Kluyveromyces lactis: one gene and its partner. The protein of the gene in region 2 interacts with the protein of the main gene of each other region in a biochemical or structural test. Links are inferred from orthologs where the notes say so. Each region holds a gene or a part of one and is shown on either strand. Other genes may lie near its edges.

Region 1 (3,631 bases), on a different chromosome or scaffold from region 2:
CAGCGACGTCCACTGGAGGTAGACGCTGATCGGCGGGTAATGTGGCAACACGTTCTGCAGCTTGTGACTCGGTCATTGTTCGAGACGCCTTCGGTGTTCCCTTGAAAGTAGATATCATCGCATCGATCTTTGCATGGTCTAGGACCGGCTGAATGGGCCGTATGATCTGGCTCAATGGGATGTTCTTTTCCTTGCACAAACTCGTCTGCATAGACATTCTCTGTAATGGTATGTTGGGTGTGTATGTTTTTTTATGGCTCTTGATTAACGGTTATATCCTGCAAGTATCTATATATTGTCAGTACAGTAGAACTTCGTCAAGCAAGGGTACTTATGTGTCTTGTTGAAGTTCTTAAATAGTAGACTTGCTTGCTATCTTTCGTTACCCGGAAACACCCTGTTTTTTTGCCTTTTCACTTTTAACCTGGCCTTTGTGATGGGGTCTGACAAATATTTGAGGTTACCCTCTAAAAGATCTAGAACCTTATTCATCGCTTAACTATGTACAACTTATATGTAATGTGTGCGCGTTACCTGACATATTACACCTAAAGGATTTATAAGATGCCGCTCTTTTTTAGGTTTTGTTGAATTACTAAATCTGTCACGGCACCTAGAACGAATCTCATTGATTGTGTATCGGTTGCACAAGTTCGATGTACGTAGATGGGCTTGTTACTTCTGTTCAAGCTTAAGAATAATGATTCGAAATATTTCAGTCCAGTCTCGCTATCACCCAGTTTCCCTGGATAATTGGGGAACCATGTTCTGATTGGAGATCTCTTCACCTTTTCTTGGAAAATATCTACTTTGTTTAAGAATAGTATGAAAGGTGTGTTGGCAAACCATCTAGAATTCAATAGTGTATCTAATAATACTATCGATTCGTGCATACGGTTCACCCTTTCATCTTCGAATAACATTTGATCATATTCACTAATTGCTATTACAAATACCACAGCAGTAATACCTTCGAAACAATGGATCCATTTTCTTCTCTCGCTTCGTTGTCCCCCAGCATCGTAAACTTTGAACGTGCTTGGTCCAATCTTGAAACTGTTTTCGGTGATCCCAGTGGTCTTAATTCTTCCTTTCAAAATGTCCATGTCATCACAAACATAATCAACTCGAGCGAATTTTTCAATGTTATCAAAATAATACGATGCAGATCCTTCCAATTGAAATTCACTTGACCTATTGAAACATTGTCTGATCCCCTTGTCCTGCGTCCAAAGCTTTTTGATTGCATAGGCAATTTCTTCGTTGGTACTTTGGTCTATACGTTTCAACTCTGAAGTCTCCGAGGAACCAGTATAACTTGTCCCGGCTAATTTTTCACTCAAGAAAGCGTCTGTCTCATCCTCTTCTTCAGGATCAGCACCATTTGATTCCTTGAATCCAAGCGTGGTTTGCCTCTTCTTCTTAGATCCTATGCCATTATATTTCAACACATACTCGTTTAGGAACTCTGAACCACCCGCCATTCTGGCATCAATCTGGTCCAATGTGTTAGCACGGAAGATCTTCTCTTTGCATTGGTGTAATTCCGTATTCACCAATTGCCCCGAATGTGCATTTTTCAAATCACTATCCAATTCGATGCCCAACTTGCCTGCTTGTAAGATTAGCGTTCTCATCGACTCAATTGCATCTGCCCAGATGACTTGTCCATATTGCATTCGTTCTCTATGGGTAAATCCGCCTTGGTGTAGGAGTTTCATTTGTTTCAACACTGTTGATTTACCGCTTTCTCCTGCTCCTAATAGAAGGAGCTTCACCTCATTCTTATTCTTATTCCTTTCCTGCTGTAAATTTTGCTCAATGAGATCATTTGCCCTTTTATTTTGAATGAAGGGATCATCCTCGTTCTCATAGTTTCCTGTACTTGCGACGCAACCCATAATGCTTAATTTCTTGCCGGCCAGCGTCAGTTTCTTTCATTTGTTTCATTTTCCTTTATAGTTCACGTTTTCGCCGTAGTTGGCACGATGTGGCCAATCCGTCTATATATATGTTAATATTAAAAGGTAACGTAGCAATATTTACTTTACATTCCTGATTTAGCATTGCATAGCCTTTATCATAGGAACCTCAAAACATGATGAAGCTTTGAGTCAAGAACCTCAACTCAGATACCCTAGAAATCTCACAGAGACGACAACTAAAATCAAGCTCAATTGGAAAATAAAACAAGCAAGTAAAAAACAAACAAGCACTTGACACTGTTTAAGGGTTTGCTTCCTTTTAAAAAACATTCCTAGCAACGTCCCTGTTTCAGATTTAGGTTGAAGTCGCTCTGCAGGTAATTACTGCACCACAATATGTTAACGGTGGCTGCAAGATCGATTGCTATGTACAACGGAGAGCTGTCTCCATCTGGAGGTCAAGTCACGTGAGAAACAAGGATGTTTGTCGCACATTCGGGTAATGAAATGTCATCTCCCGTGGATATCAATTTCATTCTGAAACTTCATCAATTTGATATCAATTGAAAAGAAATGAATGAAATGGAAAAGTATGCAGAACATGCGAATACAGGAAAGCTTATTCATGCGCATTTCATCAGGATAGGCTTGAACGCAATAGTTCGAAATATAGAAGCAACATCGTTGGCGGCTTAAAGGGGATTCGCGACTGTTTAGAAGCTAACTGTGGAGTGCAAAAGAATGCCAGAACAGCCTAAGTGTCCTGTGGATGACTCCACGAAGGAAGTGTGGTTGAAACAACAGAGCACTAATAATAAGAATGAATCAGCAAAAGCACTACCTCCAAATCATCCACCGGCTAGTTCTGAAGGGTCAGGAGTTTGTCCGGTAGACCATTCTTCCCAGGATGTATGGCTGAAAAACCATCTACAGACCGTTAATGGCTCTGCTGGCGGTGCTGCAGTTGCAGCAGCACCAGCACCAATCATATCGATCATCACTGAGGATGTCGAATGTTCAAGTGATGAGATACCTGAACACCCGAAATATACCACAGCTGTTAATTTGCCAACAGAGAGAGAGAAATCCTCCATTCCTAGAACCGGAACATCGGATAATTGGGTTTATCCATCAGAGAAGCAATTCTTCGAGGCAATGAAGAGAAAAAATTGGGATCCCGAAGCTGTGGATATGAAAGCCGTTGTTCCCATCCACAATTCCGTTAATGAAAGAGTATGGAATTATATCAAAATTTGGGAAGACGGACAAGGGGGAGATGTCTGTGGTGGCATCAAATTGACTAGTTTCAAAGGCGATTCAAAGAAGTTAACCCCAAGAGCATGGTTTAGATCCTCAATCCTTGGAATGACCAAACCTTTTGATAGGCACGATTGGGTCGTCGATCGCTGCGGGAAACAAATAGATTATGTCATCGACTTCTATTCGAATCCAGAACCTGAAAAGAACCACCTTCCTCCAATATATTTGGACGTTAGACCAAAAGTGAATACTTTTGAAGGTTGTAAATTACGCGTTATGAAAATGCTAGGATTTTAAAGACAGAAGGGATCGTCCAAATTTTCAATCCTAAGGGAAGATAATGGACAAAAACACATCACGGTATTAGCAAATACATTTATATCTCTATATTTATCGGTTTGATCGAGATACACAAACCTAATCGTTTGGTACTCCGACATTACCTC
Region 2 (4,474 bases):
GCCAATTTTCTCCAATATCGTTTCCCTATTTGCTGAACACAACGACCTAAAATTCGCCGTTCCAGGTGGTTTGATTGGTGTTGGTACTAAGGTCGATCCAACGTTATGTAGAGCAGATCGTCTAGTGGGTCAAGTCGTTGGTGCTAAGGGCCATTTGCCATCTATCTACACCGATATCGAAATTAACTACTTCCTATTGCGTCGTCTATTAGGTGTAAAGACCGATGGTCAAAAACAAGCAAAGGTTAGAAAGTTAGAGCCAAATGAAGTTTTAATGGTGAACATCGGTTCCACCGCTACTGGTGCCCGTGTGGTTGCCGTCAAAGCCGATATGGCAAGATTACAATTAACTTCCCCTGCATGTACAGAAGTTAATGAAAAGATTGCATTATCTAGACGTATCGAAAAGCATTGGCGTTTAATTGGTTGGGCTACTATCAAGAAGGGTACCACTCTTGAACCAATCGCTTAATCTGTAAATTAACTAAATGATTTTATATATGTCTATATGTATATATTGTCACATTAATGTTCCATTTTCTTGGTAGAAAAGGCCACATTCTTTTGCAAGATGAATATCTTTATTCTTCATGATGAAATGCCTAGGTTCTACTTGTTAGCAGTTATTAATGAAATTGCGTCCCTATACGATTCTGTTGCCAGGAATTTGGGCAAAGAGTCGTTCTTCATCATGATAAATACGGTATTTCTGATTTTTTCCAGTAACTGATACAAATCCTTCAACATTGATATAGCATGAATAATGACGTATGACTCAGTACCCTTATTAAGAGGTGTCGGCGCCAATGGCATTGACGTGTTACTATGGGATTGTACTTTATGCTCCACGCATTTCTTCCGGGCAGCAGGATCGAGGCTTAAGGGTCTATTAACAGATGCATCCGAAATGGCTCTTGAACAATTTTCCTTGCCTGAAGTGTCGAACGCAGTTTTAGTTGGAGACTGAGGGTGGAATATTATTCCAGTAATTGTTTCTCTAACGTTATGATCAATATTAAGTTGATACGGAGACCCCAGTGCAATATAAGAGGAGTAAATATGGTAAACCAGCGAAAGGCATTCGCTAGTTTGTTTTAAAAGAGCTGATTGAATTGTATCTTTCAGTTTAGTACTACCACCAGTTTTCCATTCCCTTAGATCCATCTTATTGTGTTCGCTCTGGTTTCGAGACTCAATGAGTTTTCGCAGAACCGACATTCTTTTTAAAAACTTCGTTATTTCAAAGTATACGTCTAGGTTTTCTGCACACATGTCTTTGCAAAGATGCTCTCTAAAAAGATATCGCATCCCAGGATCAGCCAGAATTTGTTTGAGAGACAGCAACTTTAAACCGTCAGGATTATAATTATCGTCCCCAGTACCTGAGCTCGAACTTGAATCCGAGCTTACATCATAGTTCGACACCATTACATTTTTGGTTCCAAAATCATGTCCGCTTTTGAGCTGAGAATTACCTGGGAGTGAACGACTGGAGAGTTTTACGCTGCAATTAACGCCGCCATAATTCTCAGTATCCGTTCCGATTTTAACCCCGTCCATGAAATGCGGAATCTTGGGTAGCCCATCTACTCCCCATTGAATTACGTCCCAACCGGCTTGGGTCAATGTATAGTGTGCTGTTTTTGAAATTAGAAACTTTTTCTTGCTGTTTTGACTGGGAGGTAATAAGATTGGTGTAATTAGGCCGTATTTCAGAAAGAGTGCTGCAACTGCAACACATTCTTTAGGGTACATTATATCAGTACATTCCATCAACCATTGCCAAAGGGCTTTTGTGGTGAAACAGTAGTCAATAAACATTCCTTTTCCAAAAGTTTTGTTCCCGAACAATCGAAGCCCACAATCACTCACATAATATTGAATGTGAGAGTCAGAATCTGGATTTGAAAAAAATCTATATGCAAACGGAGATTCTCTGTCCTCATCTTCAAGTTGTCGAGAGTTTAACGAATGTAGATTGTTTTCAGTATGTTGAGACTGTGAATTTCCTGAAACATTATTTTTAGGGTTTTCACCAAGCTCGTTTACGGCGAAGTCTGGTGACACATTTTCAAATGAGAAAACATCTGAGCTTCTTTGATCCAATAAGTCAGAGAGCTTAGGAATTTTATCTGTTGGATTTTTTGGGGACCATATATTAGGTTTTGGACCCATGACCTTGTTGAACAATAGATTTATGAAGTATTCGCTTTGAATGACAGAATCATCTAACGTATTTCGCTCGAACTTGAAAAGATTCATCGTATTGAAGTTTGAAGTTAATATTGGAGGCAGCTCTTTCAATGCAAACTTCCTGGCATAATCACACGTTACGGCCACCCCTTTAGGAGTCGGCTGCAAAAGAATGTTCTCTTTTGGCCGACTTCTTGTCTTATCCGCAGGTGTATGTAGTAATTTAGCTTTCATAAAAGTGTTCAATAGCTGGTATCCCAGTTCTGGTTTGATGGAATAACTGATGTAGATACTAGTGGAATTCATTTCCACATTAAGCTCCAGCTCCTGTAGTAGATCAATAGCCTCCGTAATTGAAAATGTGAACGGAAAACTTTTCTTAGCGAAATTCAAGAGTCGATTGCTACTTGATCTTGGTTTTTCCTCCAGCGGAAGACATATTATCATAATAGAAAATACTGTTTTCAGTTCATGAGTTAATATTGAGCCATCGGGTGAGCGGTCGAAGCTATTAGAAAACAATTCATGCAGCGTTTTTTCCTTTTTATTTGACTCCGAGACCATATTATCTATTCATAAGAAGAAGTAAATCAAAAATAACAAAGAGCGCGACAGTACAACATGCATATACCTCCTGGTATAAATACAGCTAAACCCCCCTTTAATTCGTGAAGCGAAGCCAACAGTCTTTACGTCTGAATAAATTCGAAGTTGTCAGTTCTTGGTTTTGCAGTAACGTACAATCCACATAAATACCAACTGCAAGTATCACCTCTCGAGAAGTAGGGTTGCTAACATTTGTATCGAACGGCTCAAAGCATTCCTGGTGCTCTATATATAAAGGCAAATGTTGATGATCTTAATGGCTTGTTTCAGATTATCACGGCGTGGTTATATCCTGGTTCACCCAGTAACGGATCTTTTGAAACAATGTTGAATTGTTTGTGATCAAATCATTTTCCTTTTTCCCTTCCAGCGTGTTTTTTGGGCAATATTGACATGAAACATGCAAAGTTCCGGTACAAACCTCAAAATGTCCAAGAAATAGGAAAATGAAACAATAAAGCTATGATAAGATCGGTGGAATTATTATACCGACATTCTAATCGATACTCAAACACAGTGTGAAAATGAGGCACTGTTTGCCTTCTTTTAATTATTTGTGCAAATCGGTACCTATTTGCTTGTTGGAATTGTTTATAGCAAACACATCGAGCATCAGTTGAAACGTTCGAGGAATTTCTGTGATGCACCGCCAACAAAGAAATTACCCCAGGGTTCAATTCTGCTGGAAAGTGCATAACTTAATGACCATGTTTAAATTGTTTATCAGTATATTTAAGTTGCTGCTTGGTGATTATTGACGTGCGTAATTTTGATTTGGTTTCCAAATCTGGATACATCAACAATGAATTTATACCAGCAAAAAATCTTCATCAGCCATAATTTCCCTTTTATACGTAATGATATCATTCACAGACCACATATCATAATCTGGTTAGCACTTTAATGGATGAATTTCTGGGATACATGAAGAGAAACAAACGCACTTTCCCTCGTAAACTATCTATATACTATTTAACAATCTCGAAGCAGCAGGCCACTTTGGGGAAAAAACATGTCAAGTTGGGTTTAAAAAGTAGAAAAGTACCAGCATAGTTTCAAGCCCAATTTAAATTTAATCAATAGTAGTCTGCAACGTCTTTTGGTTTGACATTGTTGGAATGCGATGACTTGGAATCTTTTTGCGTAGATTGTGAGCTACCATGGCCAATGGTCCCTGGATTTTCAGAAGCTCCCGGTCTGTAACTTCTCCGATCACCAGCTTGGCTGTATTGATTATACCCTGTATTTCTAGAGGTATTGTAGTCCTGATTTTGATATCTGTTAGGATAGGATCCTCCTCTAGGAGCAGAAGGACGTTGTATAGTAGGATGATGCGAACGATCAGCAGGTGGAGCATAATTGTTATTATAATTTAGACTGTCTCTACCAGTTTCCCATCCTCCTCTATTACGGTAACGTTTCCCGGCATTATACGACTCGGTAGTAATTCTTGTATTCACACCGAACCTTGATTCAGCCGGATATTTCGATGCATATGAATCACGAGGATTCGGTGGTAATTTATTTGGTCCAGTCGGTATACTGTTTTTAGGACCTTTTGGAAGAGGCGCAGTCGGAATAGGTTCTTTGGGGATGTTCTGAGTTGCTGCACCATTGTACCGTGAGGCGGAGGGTTGCGCTGGAATGGTTGATTTTATGTGTTCTGGTCTAGGAG

Evidence for each region.
Region 1: of the proteins of SST2 (region 2) and GPA1, one has a biochemical effect on the other in vitro, tested with the Saccharomyces cerevisiae proteins (2 studies listed by BioGRID, with this or other methods). The link is inferred for Kluyveromyces lactis from reciprocal best matches to the Saccharomyces cerevisiae genes SST2 and GPA1.

What each region holds. Positions count from the first base shown.
Region 1 is NC_006042.1:2,404,867-2,408,497, reverse strand, and holds GPA1 (guanine nucleotide-binding protein subunit alpha), read right to left. Parts: upstream 1,902-3,631; coding exon 558-1,901; downstream 1-557. Other genes in the region: SRX1 (sulfiredoxin), read right to left, coding at 1-217; cytochrome c1 heme lyase CYT2, read left to right, coding at 2,667-3,482. UniProt on the Saccharomyces cerevisiae protein: Alpha subunit of the heterotrimeric guanine nucleotide-binding protein (G protein) that mediates mating pheromone signal transduction.
Region 2 is NC_006040.1:894,294-898,767, reverse strand, and holds SST2 (GTPase-activating protein SST2), read right to left. Parts: upstream 2,758-4,474; coding exon 610-2,757; downstream 1-609. Other genes in the region: GCD11 (translation initiation factor eIF2 subunit gamma), read left to right, coding at 1-472; cyclin-dependent serine/threonine protein kinase SGV1, read right to left, coding at 3,876-4,474. UniProt on the Saccharomyces cerevisiae protein: Desensitization to alpha-factor pheromone. Is involved in regulating the signaling pathway for responding to mating pheromone.